Linked DNA regions of Cricetulus griseus. The protein of the gene in region 1 purifies or fractionates together with the protein of each later gene. This does not show direct contact. Links are inferred from orthologs where the notes say so. Each region holds a gene or a part of one and is shown in the gene's direction. Other genes may lie near its edges.

Region 1 (6,426 bases):
GCCTTCCCCAGTGATCTTAGCATGGGCAGGTTAGCACACAATGACTGTGCACGGAGTATGCATGCACACTCGGGGTGGAGTTTAGGGTTTGGGGAATACTAGGCCAGAGGTCTGCCCTTGGCTTGATACAGGGTCTTGCTTTACAGCTTGGGCTACCCTTGAACTTGCCATGTAGCTTCAGGCTGTCCTTAAACTTTCCAGTCTTCGCTCTGGAATGTGATCCCAGGGGTACATCACCAAACTAGGTCAAAGTACATGTGTGAAGTATAAGACACACTCCCCTCAAGCCTACTTAAGACTCTACACTAAAGGACCCACAGAGGCAGTAAGTGGACTGCTGGATCTACCAGGTCAAGTACCTTAACAGGATGAATTGAAGACGTACAGGCTGTTTCTGCCCCAGACTGAGGCCAGCAAATTTCCCCTCTTGGTGATCTGATGTTTGGGGTGGATCTCCAACACACTTTAGCCTGGAGAAACTGAGGCTCTTCGATGAGCAGGTGTGACTACAAAATTCTGGACAAGCAACGAAGCCAAAGGTGGCTCTGAGAACGGTGACTGTGAAGCTCCAGCAGCCAGAGGGCTAGGGCACTGTCGGGCCTTCCAATGTGTGTACTGTGCTTCACCCTCCATCAAACAAGGCTCCCAACCCATGGCCGCAGGGACAGCAGCCCCTGGAGCGATCATGGACGAGCTGCTGCTGCGACTCCCTCTACCACTGAGCCTCTGCAGCCTCAGTTTCCTTCCCCAAGTCACCTCAAAAAAGTTAAATGTGACAAGAGCTATCAAGCCTAGAAACACCATCGCATCCCACAGCTCTCAAAAGGTTAATACAAAAACCACACTGGAAAATCCGAATTTCTGCTCTGCTCCAATAATCTCTCCTGCCCAAAGCTCACCAAAGCTTGCTGATTTCGACAATCATTATATTCCAAAGAGGCGGAATACAGCAAGGGTGAGCTGGGAAACAGGTGACAAGCTGAGTAAATACCCACAAGCCCCTCAGGTTATGAGGGCCTAAAATGCCAAGGCCCTTGGGGACCTAACCGGCTCAAGGGAATTCGGAAATTCTGTAGAAGGAACCCGAACTGAGAAAAGCCAGAGCGTAGGAAAGATGTTCAGACCGAAAGACAACCAGTAAAATGCTAAAGTGTTCATGTCAAAACTTAAAGCTTTTGTTAAATATGTCCCCAAACCCATGCAAACGCCTTCTTTGGAAAACAGTAGCCCGAATAAAGGATGGGACCGAGACTGCAGGACGAAATCTCCGAAGTCTGGGTGCAGGCAGCGGGGCCCGCCGATGCCCAGTGACCCGCGCGGGGGCGGGGCTGCGCTGGCCTCAGGTCCACCCGCCTGCAGCGAGCTCGGGAGCCCGCTGCGGGCCGTGGGGAAGGCACGCACACTTTGGATGCGTCCCTTTGTGCCGGGGACCGCAATACCTACGACACCGGTCAGCTCGCCGCAGCGGCGCGCCACCAGGCAGCCCGCGCCCCCTTCTCCATTCGCCAAGCTGCGCGCAGAGGCGCGCGACCGACGCCACCAGGGCTGTCAGCGGAGCGCGACCAGCCCCCGCCCCGGCTGGAGGGGCCGCGGGCCCCGGCGTCCCGCACTGCTGCGTCGGCTGACAGGGGCGCTCTCAGAGGACACCGCGCGACGCGCTCCGGGGTGGCCACCCCCTGCGGCCGCCGGGCCCCCGCTGCCGGCGCCTCCGGCAAAGTTGGCGCAGGCTCTCCTGGGGGCGCGCGGGGCCGCCGTCAGGGCTCCTGCGGCCCGGCTGTGCCCTGGCTTTGTTCGCGCCCCGCGCGCACCCTCGCTCCGCACCCCCGCGGCCCTGCCCACCTTCTGGATGGTCTGCTGTGTGACCTCCCCTTTGCCTCTCGGCCGCGCCGACGCGAAGGCCACGGACATGGTGGCGGCGCGGACTCAGCCCGTGATCATTCGGGTTTATTCTCCGGCTGCGCCCCGCGGCCCGAGGTGCCCATTCTCCGCAGCGCGGGGGCGGGGGCGCGGGGGATGCCGTGCCGTGGGCTCGCCCGCCCGCCTGCCGCCGACGCGCGCCCGGGCCTCCCGCGTCCCTGCGCCTTAAGCCACCGCCTTCCGGGACTGGACCCCGCGCCGAGTCCGCCGCTGTGCCGCCTGCGCTCTGCGTCCAGCCGGCCGCCGCCGCGCCGCCCCTGTGCCGGGCTTCGGTGGTTGCGCCCGCCCCGCCGCGCCCCGCCCCTGCCCGCTCCGCCCGCGCGCCCCGCCCCGCCGCGCCGCACGTCCCCCTGACGCCAGACGCCGCGGACGCCAGCAGCGTGGCCCGAGACGGCCGGCGGGCGGGCGCAAGCGGTGAGTGTGCGCTTTTGAGCGGCGGCGGCGGCGGCCCTAGCTCGCGCGTCCGCCGGGATGAGCTACGACCGCGCCATCACCGTCTTCTCGCCCGACGGCCACCTCTTCCAAGTGGAGTACGCGCAGGAGGCGGTCAAGAAGGGCTCCACTGCGGTGAGCCGGCCCGAGCGGGGCCTGCGCGGCAGGGCGCACGGGGAAGCAGGGCTCGCAGACCCGGGAGCGGGGCCCCCGCGTTCTGCTTGCGGCGGGTGGCCCGGGAGGTGACGGGAGCCGAAGGGTGGCGACCTAGGAAGGAAGCCGGGCCGCGGGGACTGCGCCATGCTCCCTGGAGAGCCGGCTTGCCCGCTGCAGAGCGTCACGGGGAGCGCATCGCGCGCCCGGCCGGGGCCATCTTGGTGCTGTTGGCGCGGCGCGGCGCGGACGACGGAGGCCGCAGGTGCGCGCGGGAGGTGGGGGGCTGAGAGTCGGCGCCGGCGGGGACTTGGGGACCTCCCGGCTAGGCCAGACGGGCGTTGGTGAACAAAGGGCGGCCCTGCGACGGGGACCGACTGCTTCCGGGTTCGCCTGCTCCACCGACGCTGTATTCTGGTTCCGGTGGGCCTCTCGCCGCGTCCCGGGATTTGCTCGGGGACCTTAGCGCCATTTGGAAATGGGACCGCCCGACACCTGCAAGCGTCAGCAGTGAGAGAGTTCTGCGTTTTTCTTTTTCCTGAGTCACTGGGTCTTTGGGAAAGACACGTGGTTCTGAGACTCGAAGCGCTTGCATTTCCCGAGTATTTAATCGCTTTGAAAGTAAAGTCCCAAATCTTTTGGTGACTTAACCCACCCCCAAAAAACTAGAGTGAGCAGGCTTGGAGGCCCAGGCCTGTAATCCCGGCATTGGGAAGGTTGAGACCCGAAAATCTCAAATTCAAAGCCAGCCTGGGCTTCTAGAAGAGAATCTCTATGTATGTATGTATGTATGTATGTATGTATGTATGTATGTATGTATGTATGAGTTATTGACTCCTCTTTATGTGCATTGGCGTTTGTGCCTACATGTATGTCTGTGTGAGGGTGTCACATCCCTTGGAACTGGATAGATACTGGAACTGCCTTGTTGGTGCTGGCAATTGAACCCGGGTCCTCTTAAACCTGAGCCCTCTCTCCAGCCCCAAGAGACAGCTGTGCAGTGGTGGTGCACACCTTTAATCCCAGCGTTCTGGAGGCAGAGACAGGAGGATCTCTGTGATTTTGAGACCACCGTGGTCTACAGAGCGAGTTCCTGGATAGGCTCCAAAGCTACAAAGAAACCCTGTCTCAGGGAAAAACAAACAAAGAACAACAACAAAAACTTGTGAGGCTGGTGAGACGACTAAGTTGGTGAAGGGCTTGCTCTTACAAGCATCAAGACCTGGTCACACTGTGACACTCTAGACTGTCGATAAAGTTTACTTTGAATCAGGGGGTAGAGCCAGCCATAGAGAAGCAAGCAATTTCGATACAGAAGACATACAGTAAGGAAAGGGGAAAGCCAGAACTAGAGTTTGAGCTTCATTTTGGTTCTGGGAGGAGGGAAGATATGCCCCTCTTGAGGTGTATCCTGCCATAAAGCAAGGTCAGTTAGTTGTGCCTCAGCCTCCCTGAGCTAGCAGGTTTTCATCCCAGCCTATAAATAGATACATAAATAGAAACTTAATCTATGTGTTGCATTTTTTGTTTGTTTGTTTTTTTTTGTTTTTTTGTTTTCTTTTTTGAGACAGGGTTTCTCTGTGGCTTTGGAGGCTGTCCTGGAACTAGCTCTTGTAGACCAGGCTGGTCTCGAACTCACAGAGAAACGCCTGCCTCTGTCTCCCGAGTGCTGGGATTAAAGGCGTGGGCCACCAACACCCGACTGGAAACTTAATTTAAACCTACATATGGTGACTGTAACAGAGCCAGGGTGCAGGAGCAGAAGCCCTGTGAGGTGTGGCCAATGGGGTGCATAATGTGGGCAGTGGGGCTGTAGACAATAATTAAAATACCTGTAGATTCATGTGCCAACCCCTAAGCTGATGGAAAGACATCATTTGGTGCCCCACAAATGTAGCAGTACTTTCTAGTTGGGATTGCTGGCCCACAAAGGACATGGAGACTTGTTAATAATGAAAGCTTGGCCTTATCTTAGGCTTGTTCGCAGGTAGCTCTCATAACTTAATTAACCCATATAATTTTTTTAGTCTACATTCTGCCACGTGGCTCAGTTGCCTCTTAGTACTGCACAAAATCATGTGTGCCTAGATTCCTTCTTCCAGTCTCTCTCTCTGCCCAGAAGTCTCTCCTGTTCTCTCCTGCCTAGCTATTGGCCATTTAGCTCTTTATTAAAGTCATTAGAAAACGCCAACGCCTTAGGCAAAGACACTTCTTTACAGCATAAACAAATATTCCGAAACATCCACCTACCCACTTTTTTTTTGTTATGTTTTTTTGGTTTTTCCGAGACAGGGTTTCTCTGTGTAGCTTTGGAGCCTGACCTGGCACTTGCTCTGGAGACCAGGCTGGCCTCGAACTCACAGAAATCCACCTGCCTCTGCCTCCCGAGTGCTGGGATTAAAGGCGTGCGCCACCAATGCCCGGCTTTGTTTTTATTTTCTTAAAAGCAGCTTCACACAATGGCATCCCAGCTCTTAGGAGGCAGAGACTGGAGGGGTGCTATTGGCTTGCTGGTCAGCAAGTGTAGCACAATCTGAGTTCAGGTTCAGGGTCTCGAAAAACGTTAAGTTTGGAGGGGCTGGAGAGACGTTGCAGCAGCTAAAAGGGTGCAAGCAGAGGACCGAGATAAGTTTTCAGCGCCCAGGTTGTAAGGTCAAAACTGCCTTGAATTCTAGCTCCCGGGAGTTCAGCATCACTGACTTCCATGGGCAGGTTCGAGAGCATGCGCGCGCGCGCGCGCGCACACACACACACACACACACACACACACTTAAACCACTTTTGAAGTTGGAGAAGAAATGGAGGAAGACACCGTTATGAACCTCTGGCCTCCGTATGCTAAGGGACATAACCATACACAACCATAGGAAAGCTCTGGAATCTGGAGGTGCCTGTTACACCCAGCTAATTTCTCTGGACCCTGCAGGTCACATGAGTCAGCACAGAAGGACCTTGTAAAAATCACTCCAGACCAGGGGTGGTTCAGACATAGCTTCTCCCTTGGTAGGATCTCCCTTGGTAGGATCACCAAAGGTTCCTGCATTGGTGGGGGGGGGGGTGCTGCCCACATCAGAGTGAGCTGCCAACTAGTTGTGCCCTCTGTGCCCAACTGCCTTGTTCAGGAATTGCTGCATCTGCTTCTGTTCCTCCCTTGCTAAAGGGTTAAATATCAATGAGGTAGGTCCTGGGTTTATTGTGTTTGGTTTGGTTTGAGTTTGGATGCTAGGCAAGCACCATCTACATCCACAGCCCAATTTCATTTGTTTAAACAGCGGCCACTCCCCCCCCACCCCCTTCTACAATACCCAGCATAATCAGGGACTGGTGTGTTAAATTAATGGGTAGTGGCTCACTTTGTAACACACTAGGACCTACCAGCAGTATGTGTAGTGTGAGCAGGCGTGGTGGTAGCCTGGGGCCAATTGGAGTTCAGTTTTCCAGCATCTATCTGATGCAGTGGTTTATTAGGCCTTGGGGTCTTGTGCAGGACTGTTTAGCTGTGTTACAGCTGTGACCGTTGTAGTGTTTTAAAGGCATGAGATCAGACACTCGGGTCCCGGTAACTTATCCTAGTCCACAGGAGGAGATCTATGTCCTTGGTGTGGTACAGTGTGTCAAGTGATAGGCCAGAAATGGGTGGGGGTACCTTCTTGCCCTAAGCCTTTCCACTCTGCTGTGCCAGAGATGAACAGCTGTCCTGCTTATGTGTATATATGTGTGTGTGTGTATGTATGTATGTTTTTTTTTCAAGACAGGCTTTCTCTATGTAACAGCCCTAGCTGTCCTGGAACTAGCTCTGTAGACCAGGATGGCTTCGAACTCACAAAGATCCACCTGCCTCTGCCTCCCGAGTGCTGGGGTTAAAGGCATGTGTCACCACGGCCCAGCCTCTGCTAATTTAATTCTTTAAAAAAAAAATTTTTT
Region 2 (6,426 bases), on another chromosome or scaffold:
CGAAAGTAAAAAGGGTGCTGGATAAGTGTGGTCCGCAATGTTGAAATGCTGGAACAATATCAAGCAGCAATGGTCACCATGTGGTTCATGACATCATTCATTTCTCCTGCCCTAAAACTGTAGCTGAAGAAAAAATTGAGGGCACCATGACCCATGACTGTAATTCCAGATTCAGGAGACAGAGACAGGAGGACTAAGAGTGTACACTTAACACTCAGATACACAGTGAGCTTGTGGGCAACTGAAACCTTGTCTCAAAAACATAGTCATTTAATATTTGTTGACCACACACACTGAGTGATATAAATTCAAGCCTAATATTTGCTGAGCATTTTTTCTTTCAGTACTAGAGAATGAAACTATAAGGATAAAAGGAATTTCCTTATACATAAGATGCTAGAATTTTCCTGGGGGCACAGACATGTAAATACAGATCTTTAAAAAATATTTATTTATTATGTATACAGTATTCTGCCAGCATGAATGCCTACATGCCAGAAAAGGGCACCAGATCTTATCACTGATGGTTGTGAGTCCCCATGCAGTTGCTGGGAATTGAACTCAAGATCTCTGAAAGAGCTGCCAGCGCTCTTAATCTCTGAGCCATCGATCCAGTTCCATAAACAGATATACATGCAGTGATCTTAAATGCAGTGTAGTGTAGAGAATACTTAATAACGAGCTCATAGGATCAAAGCAATACTGGCATTGTGATGGTCAGCCTGTTTAAAATTGATCTTTATGTATGCATATGTGTCTGTGTACATGAGTGCAGTGCCTGAAGAGGGCATGAAATCCCTGGGAACTAGAGTTACAGGCGGCTGTGAGCCACTGACCTGGGTGATGGGAAATGAACCTGGGTCTTCTGGAAGTGCAACAAATGCTCATAACTACAAAGCCCACCCAGGCCTACATTGGTTAATTTTGATTGCCAACTTGAGAGGATTTAATCACCTAACAATGGTTCTCAATATGGGGATCTCAACCCCACTGGGGAAGTCACATATCAGATATCTACAGTACAATTCATAACAGTAGCAAAAAATGCAGTTATGAAGAAGTAACAAACTAATTTTATGATGGGGGTCACCACAACATGAGGAACTGTATTAAAGGGTCGAAGTGTTAGGAAGGTTGAGAACCACTGACCTAGGAGACACAGTCTGGGCACATCTGTGAGGTCATCTCCACCGTTTAATTAAAAATTATGTACCCAGAATTGGAGAGCCACCATCTCTTGGGCTCCAGTCCCAGGTGAAAGCAAGAGAACAACAGTGTTCCTCTCTCTATCAAAGTGACCAGCTGTCTCATTGTTCCCCCAAAAGAGACCTGCTCTAGCCTTGTCCTCCATGCTGCACTGGCCTCTCAAAATGTGAGCCAAGGGTCATGGAAGGATGGCTCAATGGTTAACAGCACCTGTTGCTCTCACGGAGGGCTTGTTTCCGTTCCCAGCGCCCACAGGGTGACTCACAACCATCTGTCTGAAACTCTACTTCCAGGAGATTCCCAGACTTGTGTTGGCAGATACCTCTAGACCTCGTAAAGGAGCGTGAGGGCACCGGGCACACACATACAGTCAAACAAAACACATTTTAAGAAATTACTAAGTTTAATGGAAAGATTTAGGGAAATGACTCACGTGCAGCATCACTGACTTAAATTGCTACACACTTACACCCATTTTATTGAAAAAAGGATTTAGTCTCAAGGAGCCCCCAAATCTTTGTCATCTTCTCTGTGCACCCACATGGACTAAATATTAAATATCTCTTTTCTGCCTTCCGCTTTCAATTGGCTTACTGAGGACGGATGGCCCGACCTGACTAGGGACAAAGGTTATGACCTCCCCCAAGTTCAATAACACCCACATCCCCCAATCCCCGGAGTCCTCCTTCGGCTGTAGTTCAGTAACCAAGCTCGCTCCTTCCTTTGGGTTCCACATGCACCAAGCCTCGAATCTTCGACTTATAAAGATGTAAAAGCCTCTTGTCCGAGTTTTGCGTCGTCAGCAGAACTTTATGCAAATCTCGCCCTAGACCTCCTGGCATGGCCCGTGGGAAGTCTAAGCATCTGCACACGCCTATCTAAAACCGTCCACGCGAGTCCAGGCCCAGCACACACCCTGGCGGTGCCCTTGTCCCTCGCTCCCCCGGGATCGCAAGCGTGGGAGCCCAGGCACAGAGAGACTCCCTACCCCTCCCACGCCCTCTTTCCTTCCTGGCCGGACGGACGCACTTCCGGCGGATATGGGTGGGTCGGCCCCGGAAACGGAAGTGAGCAGCTTGGCCGGCCGACTATAGCGGGCTGAGAGGCTTTCGCAGAGCTGTTTCCAAGATGGTGAGTGAACGCGAGCGACCGTGATCGCGGCGTGTGTCCGTGGCGCGGGCACGACCACGGCTGCGCGGTCCCGGCGGGTATCTGGTTCGAGGATGAGCCTGGCTGCGCGCTCCCGAAGGGTGTCCGGCGTGGGCATGACGCCGGCTGCGCGCTCTCGGGTAGTGCTGGTTCCCGCAGGACCGCGCGCTTCGGTCCCCGGGGCAACCCAGGCCTGCGCGTCCCTTCCCGGTAGTTGGCGCGGACGCCCAGTGCACCTCAGAAAGCCGAGCCTTGTGTGGGTGTTGGGATACCGCCACTCTCCCGCTCCCTCGGGTGACTGGAGTCTACAGCCCCAAGCTCTGGCCACGACCGCAGGCTTGCATTTATACAATTCAGTCTCGGTTTACAAACATCTCTCTCCCTGCGCCATGTGTTGCTCCCGGTTTGTCTGCATGGGTTAGTGCTGGGACTCCCTCTCTCCCCCTTCTGGCCTTTCCTCCTTTGCCACTTTCTGTTTCTCTTTGAGCAGAACTCCTGAGTCACCATGGCACGGACCTGATACAAGCACTCCTTGCAGCCCCATCTGCCCACATCCAGAAAGCTTGTGTTGGCAAATACCGCGAACCATTGTAAAGGAGTGTGAGAAACACTCCGAAATGAGGATGGTTTTAGGTCTTTGTGGACTTAATTTAACTGACACTGGACTAGAACCTTAAGGAGTCCAGATATTTTACAGAAGGACATTGCAAAGATGGTTACCCACTGGCTTGCATTTTTCTGTACCCGAGAAGATAGGGATGTTACACATAGGGTGACCGTATCAGTTCCAGAGGCTGCTTTTAAACTTTTTACAGGGGTCTCCCTCCCTCCCTCCCTCCCTCCCTCCCTCCCTCCCTCCCTCTCTCTCTCTCTCTCTCTCTCCTCTTCTCCTCCTCCTCTCTCGGTTTTTCCAGACAGGGTTTCTCTGTGTAGCATTGGAGTCTGTAGACTAGGCTGGCCTTGAACTCACAAGATCCACCTGTCTCTGCCTCCTGAGTGTAAAGGCACGTGCCACCACAGTCCAGCTTTTTATGATATCTCAATTAGCTGCATTTATTTTTACTTCTGGTAACCAACCACTCCCCCTTTCTCTTGGTTCCTATAACCTCATTTCCCTAGGTGTCATGACTTAATTCCATGTCTTTTATTTTCCATAGATCTGTCCTAAAGGATTGGTGTTCCCCAGTGTTCCATTCTCAGCCTTTTTGTTGTGTTAAATCTTTCATTTCTTTGCATTAAACCTAAGGGCAGTCTCTTTCCAGTGAAGTGAATCTTATTGATCTTGCCATAAACCTTCCAAGACTTGTCAGTTTTAGGGCATCTTTGAATTTTGCCGCTTCATTAATATGTTAGTTGGTCTCAGATGGTTTTAGTTTGTTTTTGTATTCATATCTTTTTTTTTTAAATAAAATGCTTTCCCTGCAGACACATTCAGAAGTCAGAGAGGGCCAGTTCTTCTCCCCCAAGTGTGGTATTACTCACTGTACCTTGTATGCTGGCTACCACAGTACTTAGGCTCTGTCTGTGCAGATCCAGGGCTCCTTGAGGGCACAGCCCTTATCTTCTGTCTCCTTTAACTGCCATGCTGACTTTGTGTTGTAGAATGCCAGAGGCCTTGGGTCGCAGCTGAAGGACAGTATTCCAGTGACAGAGCTCTCAGCAAGCGGGCCCTTCGAGAGTCATGACCTTCTCCGGAAAGGGTATGTGGGGAGTTGTGGCTGTGCCTTGCCCTAATGAAATGCTTCTTGTGGCTTCTTTTCAAGGTCCTCTTTTTGAATTGCTATAAATGTGTGTTGGATTTGGGCTGTAGTGAGTTATACACTCAGATGGAGTGTGGTGAGGAAGAGGCCCACAGAGTAAGAGCGGGGCGTCCTCCTAGTGCACACACCTTGTAGGGTGATTGGAAGACTCTGTGGGGTTTTATAGTGAGGGGGCTAGCACTGATGGCTGAACCTAAGATGTCACATAATGGGAGGCAAGCACACTACCACTGAGATACAGGTAGCCCTAGGCCTTGATTTAGTGAGATTCTTACTGCTCATAACTCAGAGAGCCATTGACTTTCTTACTTTACTAACTGCTGGAGTAATTAACTTTTCTTTGGGAGACACTAGAGTATAGCCGTTAGGATGATCAACACTGGACCTGGCAAGTATGACTTGAGTTTGGATCCCCAACGCCCGTGTGAAAGTAAGGTCAGCCTAGCCAACTGATGATCTCTTGTCCAGAGAGAGACCCTGCCTCAGAATATAAGGTGGAGAGCAACAAAGGAAACACCAATGTTAACTTCTGATCTACATGTGCACTAACTGTGTGCACATGCACACACAAGTTTCTCTTAAGAAAGTATCGTGTATTGCCCGGTGTTGGTGGCTCATACCTTTAATCCCAGCACTCGGGAGGCAGAGGCAGGTGGATCTCTGTGAGTTTGAGGCAGCCTGATCTACAGAGTGAGTTCCTGGATAGCCTCCAAAGCAATACAGAGAAACCCTGTCTCAAAAAACCAAAAAAAAAAGTAAAAAAAAGTATGGTGTTCACCAAGGAAACAAGCCTTCTATACACAGCAGGACTGATGCAACATAAGAACTCCCAGAGACTGGCAATATGCACAGAGCATGCATGGGGGCCCAGTGCTAAGACAAGTAGACAAACCCCATCCCTAACTTGGAAGCTATCTCCAGTTAATAACCTCTCACAGAGGAAAAAGGAGTTTTCTTCTGTGGAGTAGGAGTGTATACAGACCACACTTAACCACACAAAGTTATGACTTCGGAGGGTTTTTTGTTTGTTTGTTTGCTTCTTAATGCTTTGTCTGGGCGTTTTTTTTTTTTAAACCTTACAGGCCTTTTGCTTATATATTATGATTTCTGGTTTTTATGGGATTTCTGTGTGTGCAAATGTGTGTGTCACTGTGTCTGTATGTAGACCTTACGCTTTTTCTTTGGCTCTTTTTTTTCTGTTTTTTGTCCAATTCTGGTTTGTTTGTTTTAATGTGTTTATTATTATTAGTTACCTATTTGTTTTCTTACATTTTTGGTTGTGAGCCTAGCCTTTAACGGTTGAACCATCTCTCTAGCCCTGTCTGTTTGTTTTCTAATGAGAAAAAAAAAAGAAAGGGTGTGGATTTGGGTGGGTAGGGAGGTGATGGGGGCCTGGGAGAAATTAGGGGAGGGGAAATGGTGATCAGAATATATTGTATGAAATAAGTCTATTGTCAACAAATATAAGAAAAGGGGGAGAGAAAGGAAGGATGCTGTGCTGCACTGCTTAGTTTTGGTTCCAGCTCTGCTGTCCCCTGGAAGCAATAAAATAACCTGGAAACAGGTTATTTTATTGCTGTCTCAGTGTTCTCATGTATGACAGGACTTGCAGTGTGTCTCGTACTGTGAGGAGTAAGGGGTTATTCCCTGAGAACATCTAAGTGGTACCCGCTGTTTTTGAGCACTAAGTGTTAGCTGCCGCTGTTGCTGTCTTCCAGCTCCCTGGCTTGCCTGCGTCTATAATTGCCTTTGTGTTTAGACACCTTTCCAGTAGTCTGTCCATGGCGTATCACTTTACTACTCAGTCTTACAAGCTCAGTACGGCTTCCCATAAATACCCATAAGTTAGTTCTAAAGAGTTTACATCTTAATGTGAGTGCTGATGTTTCCTGCCGTGCAATGCCCTTCCAGTGCTGGGTCTGGGTACATACTTAATCCCCTTTGGATTTGCAGTAAAAGACACTGGACACCTCCTGAATTGAAGGTATAATTTGATTTGTAGTAAAATTAATAGGAGAGGGCTGGAGAGATGGCTCAGCAGTTGCGAGCACTTGTTCTTACAGAGGGCAGTTCCCAGCACCACATGGAGGCTCCTGACCGCCTGTAACTTCATTTCCAGGAGAACAGGTGCTCTCTTCTGGCCTCTGTGGGAATCAGGCACGCACAAGGTGCACATACATATGTGCAGGCAAACACAGACAAGATAAAAATAAGTATCTTTAAAGAAAATTAATAGGCTAGCTGCCAACCAAGGCCTGGTGAGTTTTTGCTCCTACATGAAATGTCACTTCTTTTCTTCCCAGTTAGCAGT
Region 3 (6,426 bases), on another chromosome or scaffold:
GATAAGGAGTCATTAACTCAAGGAAGGAAGGAGTGAAATTGTTGAGAAGAATGCCTGAGCTGTCTAAGGACTTTAGTGTGTAAGCAGAAGCGTGGCTTTTTTAGGACAGTCAGCAGAATACATTGAAAAGCTTCAGAGGTGGGGTTTCCAGGGCTATCGACCTCTGGGAAAGGGTCTCAAGGCTGCGATTTCTCTTAGTATCTGCCCACAATTTTCCCAGTCAGTGAAACCTCCCGCAGGGAGACAGTGGAGCTTTCTGGTTTGGATGCAAAACTCACCCTTCCCATAAGCCTCAGTGAAGATCAGAGGTTTCAGGCATTAGCTGGGACCTGGTGAGTGTCAGTGGCCCAGGCTCAAGTATCTTCAGCAAGGGTCAGGGAATGGAGTCAGGCTTTAAGCTGAACATCAGGGAAGGTCAGGGTGGGGTCAAACCACACTTTGAACATTCTATTTTCAAAGGGGGCTCATGATGTTTCTAAGGGAGCTGTGAAGATGAAATGATCTAGGCATGCAACAACAAAGAAATGGGTAAGGAAAATAGAAGTATACACACAGTGGAGCTTCAGCCATAAAGAAGAATGGGTGGGGCTAAGAAGATGGCTGTTGGTGAAGCTCTCACCTTGCAATCACAAAAACCAAAGTTCCATTGCCAGAAGCCATATTTAAAAGCCTGGAGATCTAGTACAGCCTGTAATGCCAGCGCTGGGGAGCTGGAGATAGGCATTTCCCTGGGCTTGCTAACAGTCAGCCTAACCTAATTAGTGATCTCTAGACCAGTGAAAGACCCTACCAAGCTCAAGAAGCAAGGTGTAGCCAGGTGTGGTAGCACACACCTTTAACCCCAGCAGAGGCAGGTGAATCTCGGAGTCTGAGACCAGCCTCATCTACACAATGAGTTTCAGGCCAGCCAAGGCTACATAGTGAGATCCTGTCTCAATTGGGGGCGGGGGGAGGCAGAACAGAAAAAAGGTGGGTATACAGCTACCGAGATACAGTACCTCCTAAATTGACCTCTGACCTCCACACATATGTGCACAAAAAAAAAAAACAAAACGAGGTCAACATTCTTGAAAATAGATGAAGCTGGAGATAATCATGTTAAACAAATTAAGCCAGTCTCAGAAAGACAGATGCTGTGTTTTCTCTCATTTGTTGTTCCTAGATTTTACATAGTCACTGGGAGTGTGTGTGTGTGTGTGTGTGTGTGTGTGTGTGTGTGTGTGCGTGTTAAATTAAAGAAATTAATTTGTTTAGGAAAATGGAGAGGACTAACAGGAGGGGGGAAGGGGCAGGTAATAGGAATAAAGGGAATATGCTCAATTTTCAATCTATACTTACAAGAAAAATTGTTTTAATTTAATGGCTCAAAGTTAAGAGCACTGGCTGCTCTTGCAAATGACCAGGTTTGGTTCCCAGCACCTACATGGCAGCCCACAACTGTCTGTAACTCCAGTTCCAGGGAATCCAATGCCTTCTTCCGGCCTCGGGGGTTACTGCATTCACATGGTACACATACATTGAGGCAGGCAAAAATATTCATACAAATTTTGAAAAATGGTGTTTATTGTTTTTAATTCTGTAAGATGAGCAGTACCTAACGTAAATGAATAGATTTGTTCCTCAAAACCCAAAAGAAAAGAAGGAAGGAAATGAAAAATGAAGAGAAGGAGGAAAAACATTAAATTGTAACTTAGCTCAGCTTGAATGCTTGCACAAACTCCTGGGGCTTTTTGTTTGTTTTTGGGGGGTTTTTTTTGTTTGTTTGTTTTGTTTTTGTTTTTTTTTGTTTTTTTTTTTTTTTTTTTTTGAGACAGGGTTTTTCTTTGTAGCCCTGGCTGTCCTGGAGTTCATTCTATAGACCAGGCCACCCTCAAACTCACAGAGATCTGCCTACCTCTGCCTCCAGAGTGCTGGGATTAAAGTTGGATGTATGGCACCAACGCCAAACTCCTGGATTTTTATCTCCACACCACATAAACCATGCATAGTGGTATGTGTCTGTCATCCCAGCATGTGGAAGGTGGAAGTAGGAGAATCAGGGGTTCAAGAGCATCCTTGGCCAACCTAGGCTACTTGAGAACCTGTCTCAAAAAAAGAAGAAAATAATCCCAGAACTCTGAAGGCAAAGGCAGGCAGGTTCCTGTAAATTCGAGGCCAGTCTGGTCTACATAGTGAGTTCCCCAATAACCAGGGCTACATAAAGATACACTGTCTCGAAAAAACAAACCAACAAATAAAACTAGATGGATGGATGGATGCATGGATGATAGAGTGTGCCTTAGCCAAAGCCAGGTATACACCAAATGAGAAAAATATATATATAAACCGGGAGGTGGTGACCCATGCCTTTAATCCCAGCACTTGGGAGGCAGAAGCAGGCAAATCTCTGAGTTCCAGGCCAGCCTGGCTACACAGAGAAGCCCTGTCTCGAAAAACAACAAAAACAAACAAACAAAAAGAAATAGTAACCATTACTGCCATCCCACTCCACAGCTGAGACACAAAGCCCCGACACTGGAGTCCAAGCACCGCCCAAGGAATCTTGAAGCTCCTAGACCCAGAGGCACAGTGTCCCTTTAACAGGAAGCCTGGCGTCTCCTTTACAACACGGAACCTAAGGCTGTGGAACTGCGGAGACCCACGGACCGGACCAAGGACCGGAAGCGGAAGTTCTCGGCCCGCGCTAAGTGAAAGCGGGCTACATTGTTCATTGACATTCATGTTTGGCGCGGTTGATGCAGTGAGCGCTGTGGCTGCGGGTTTCGGACCGGCTGTAGTCAATAGTGTCCCAACCGTTCCCAGCCCTGCGCGGTCGGGGTTCCCCGGTGAGCTTGGCGTTTTCCATTCCCCCTTGTATCTACAAGCAGGCGACAGGTGGGGCAGTAATCACAGGCGGTGCGGCTGGACAAAAAAACAGAAACTAACAGAAGCCTGTCTGAACATGCGCACACTTGGTTTTGAGTTGAGGCAGGGTATTAGAATAGCGTCTCTCCCTTGTAACCAAGGCTGGCCTCGAACTTGGGGGTCCTCCAGTCTCGGCCTCCCTTGTGCTGGGATGATAGGCATGTGCCACCGCTTGCAGCTTGGAATGGCCTGCTTGGCATTTCTGCTTTGTAGCTACAGGTTATATCTGACTCTGACTGCTCCCTCCCTTTTTCCTTTTCTTTAAAATTGAAGCCTCCACTGAAGAACGGGACCATGGAAGACAAACCGTTGGTATTTTCGAAACAGAAGACAGAAGTAGTTTGCGGTGTGCCCACCCAGGTGATCTGCACGGCCTTCAGCAGCCACATTTTGGTTGTGGTGACCCAGTTCGGGAAGATGGGTACACTAGTCTCCTTGGAGCCCAGCAGCGTGGCCAATGACATCAGCAAGCCAGTGCTCACCACAAAAGTCCTCCTCGGGCAGGACGAGGTAAAGGGGTTGGGAGAACAATCTTTGCTGGCGTCATTTTTCCATAAGGACATGGGTGTCTGATAAGGACCCCTCCATACACACCCAAGGACACAGTCAGCATTCTCCAGACCTTTCAGATCTGAGGGTGCCCTGGCTGCCCCTAGTGATGCTTTTCCCATCGTGTCAGCATTTTTACTCAACACTCAGTGGAGCTATTGATTTTGTGACACAGCCATCTCCTCAGTTTGACCCGTCGTGATGGCTTTATGTTAATGAAGGCTTGATGTTTACGTCTGCTTCTTCAGTCTTGACAGCATTCCCCTTTGTATGCATGTCTATCTGGATTAGGGATAACCAGAGAGATGGTATGCAGAGGCACCAAGGGGGAAAAATCCTAATGATGCCTCGTCAGCTGTTTGTTATATCTGCGGTGTGCAGTCCACTGAGCCCTTCGAATAACTGTTGTCTTGGCTTCCCTGGAGGTGACTTAGGGAAGGTGTGGGAAGCTGGTCTGGATCCATGATGGGTGCTTAAGGAGAGCATCGGGAAACAGTGTTTGAGCTGGGTGTGGTTGTGCAGGCCTGTAATCCTCTCACTTGGTAGACTGGAGCAGAAGGGTTGCTGCAAGTTTATGATCAGACTGAGCTATGCAATGAGTTCGAGGCCAGCTGGGGATAGATCCTCCTTTCCCCCTTAAGAAAACAAAAACCAGGGCTGGAGACAAGGTTCAGCAGATAAGAGCACTGACTGTTCTTCCAAAGAACCTGGGTTTGATTCCCAGCACCCACATGGTGGCTCACAACCATCTGTAACTCCAGTCCTAGAAGATTCAGCACCTTCCTCTGTGGGTATGTATATGGTACACAGTCATATAGTCAGGCAAAACATCCATATACATAAAGACAAATAAATATATTAAAAGAAAATTGGAGGGGTGGTGGTGCACGCCTTTAATCCCAGCACTTAGGAGGCAGAGGCGGGTGGGTCTCTTCCAGTTCAAGGTCTACATAGTGAGTTCCAGGAGTTTCCAACAACAAAAGAAAAAATACAAACAAAAAACCCAAAAGCCACTTGGTACAGTGTGGTTCCAGCACTTGGGAGGTAGGAACAAGAGGACCAGGGGTTCAGTTTCTCCTTTTTTGTTGTTATTTTTTGGTTTTTTGTTTTTAGAAATAGGGTTTCTCTGTGTACCTCTGGCTGTCCTGAAACTCCCTCTGTTCCAGGCTGGTTATTACAGCTATATAAGGGCAATGTGAGCTACATGAGACCCTCTATTTAAAATGCAGGGAATGTTGAGATAACTCAGGAGTAAAGGCACTTGGCGTGCAAGCCTGTGTTCAGCTCCCTGAACCCACAGTGGAAGGAAAGAACTAACTGCCACAAGTTGTACTCTCTCATATATACACTATATATATTAAGTGGAGACTAAATAGCTCTATGTATCAGTGCACATCTTTAATCTTAACACTTAGGAGATGAAAGTAGGCCTGGTCTACATAGCAAGTTCCAGATCAACCAGGGCTATACAGTGAATTCTTGCCTCACAAATAAATAAAGGATGGATGGATGGAGTGGAGACTGAGGAAATAGCTCAATTCCTAAAGTCCTTGCAAGCATGGCCTGAGTTCGATCCTCTGAATTCACATAAAAAAGCTTGGTGGTGAGTGCCTTTGATCCTAGCACTAGGGAGGCTAAGCCAGCCTCAGAGACAGAAGGATTCTGGGGCTTGCTGGCCATGCAGTCTGGAGAATTCCAGGTCAATGAGACCTCGTCTCAAAGTAGATGATGGTGTTCTACGGCTGATACCTGGGGTTGTCTTCAGGTCTCCTCAAGCCCACACACATGCACACTCTTTTTTAAAAAAACAAACTGGATATGATAGCATATGCCTGGAATCCTAGCACTCAGGAGGCTAAGTAAGTAAGATCGCCATGAGTTCAATAACCTAAGCTATATGAATCCCAAGCTAGCCTGAGTTAAAGACAGTTGACAAACTGTCTTAAAAAAAAAAAAAAAGTGAGGTTTCCTGCAGTCATGGTCCTGTCTTCCCCCCCTCCCCAGCCTCTCATCCATGTCTTTGCGAAGAACCTGGTATCGTTTGTGTCTCAAGAAGCAGGAAACAGAGCTGTCCTCCTGGCCATGGCTGTGAAGGACAAGAGCATGGAGGGGCTGAAGGCCTTGAAGGAGGTGATCCGGACATGCCAGGTGTGGTGACCTGCAGTCAGCAGGGCATGACAGTGGGATCTGGCGGACGCTCAGCAGGATCTGTGAGACCCTTCTTTCGAGTGCCAGGACAGTCAAGTGGAGACTCATTCTCTGGCTTTAGCCCTTGAAGCTGGAAATAACATGCAGATCTCAGGGGACTCTCACTGTGTGACTGCTGTGTTCCACCTGGGGCACTGGAAACGGTTCTGGGCTGCAGCAGAGGCACCTGCTGAGTGGAAACCATCAGCCAGTTTTGGGGACTGGCAGCCCTAGGTGTGCAGCAGCACTTGTGGGGATACTTTTTTTTTTTTTTATTAAAAAAATAAAATACTTGGCTAGTCTTGTCAATAATGCTGAGACATTGTGGTCATGTGTCAAGCTTCAGGGCACCTGAGGTGGGAGGAAAACCTGTTTAGCAAAAGCACAGTACACGGTTGCTGGTGTATGAGGTAGATCCCAGGCATACAGTCAGCCAGCATTGGGTACTGTCCTCCCTATGTGGGGGCATGGGCCAGAGCCTCAAGTTACTGAATATAGTGAGGGACATGCATGTGCAGAGACCAGATGTGTGGCAAGCAGAACAAGGGTGACCATGCAGGTGGATTCCCTAAGGATAGCTGGATGGCAAATCCATGGGGAGTGTGGGAGGCCAAAGAGTGATCCTGAGCTCAGAGAGGAGGGGTTCTGTATGGAGTTGGGGTCCCCCCTTTACAAATATTTCCAAGGCTCACTGCAAGGGTTGGGGAACCAGTATCAGGCCTTGACATTAGACTGGCATTTTTGCCTAGAGTTGGTTCCTCTGAAGAGTGGCATCCTGGGGCCTCC

The links.
Region 2: the proteins of Psma7 (region 1) and Pomp purify together in Homo sapiens (co-immunoprecipitation; 4 studies listed by BioGRID and IntAct, with this or other methods). This does not show direct contact. The link is inferred for Cricetulus griseus from reciprocal best matches to the Homo sapiens genes PSMA7 and POMP.
Region 3: the proteins of Psma7 (region 1) and Psmg3 purify together in Homo sapiens (affinity purification with mass spectrometry; 3 studies listed by BioGRID and IntAct, with this or other methods). This does not show direct contact. The link is inferred for Cricetulus griseus from reciprocal best matches to the Homo sapiens genes PSMA7 and PSMG3.

Annotation. Positions count from the first base shown.
Region 1 is NC_048599.1:1,891,420-1,897,845, forward strand, and holds the start of Psma7 (proteasome subunit alpha type-7), read left to right. Parts: upstream 1-2,293; 5' UTR 2,294-2,388; coding exon 2,389-2,484; intron 2,485-6,426. Other genes in the region: calcium-responsive transactivator, read right to left, coding at 1,840-1,908.
Region 2 is NC_048597.1:83,722,355-83,728,780, forward strand, and holds the start of Pomp (proteasome maturation protein), read left to right. Parts: upstream 1-2,204; 5' UTR 2,205-2,334; coding exon 2,335-2,337; intron 2,338-3,957; coding exon 3,958-4,055; intron 4,056-6,426. UniProt on the Homo sapiens protein: Molecular chaperone essential for the assembly of standard proteasomes and immunoproteasomes. Degraded after completion of proteasome maturation. Mediates the association of 20S preproteasome with the endoplasmic reticulum.
Region 3 is NC_048597.1:76,465,600-76,472,025, reverse strand, and holds Psmg3 (proteasome assembly chaperone 3), read left to right. Parts: upstream 1-2,661; 5' UTR 2,662-2,825; intron 2,826-3,177; 5' UTR 3,178-3,198; coding exon 3,199-3,414; intron 3,415-5,457; coding exon 5,458-5,610; 3' UTR 5,611-5,936; downstream 5,937-6,426. UniProt on the Homo sapiens protein: Chaperone protein which promotes assembly of the 20S proteasome. May cooperate with PSMG1-PSMG2 heterodimers to orchestrate the correct assembly of proteasomes.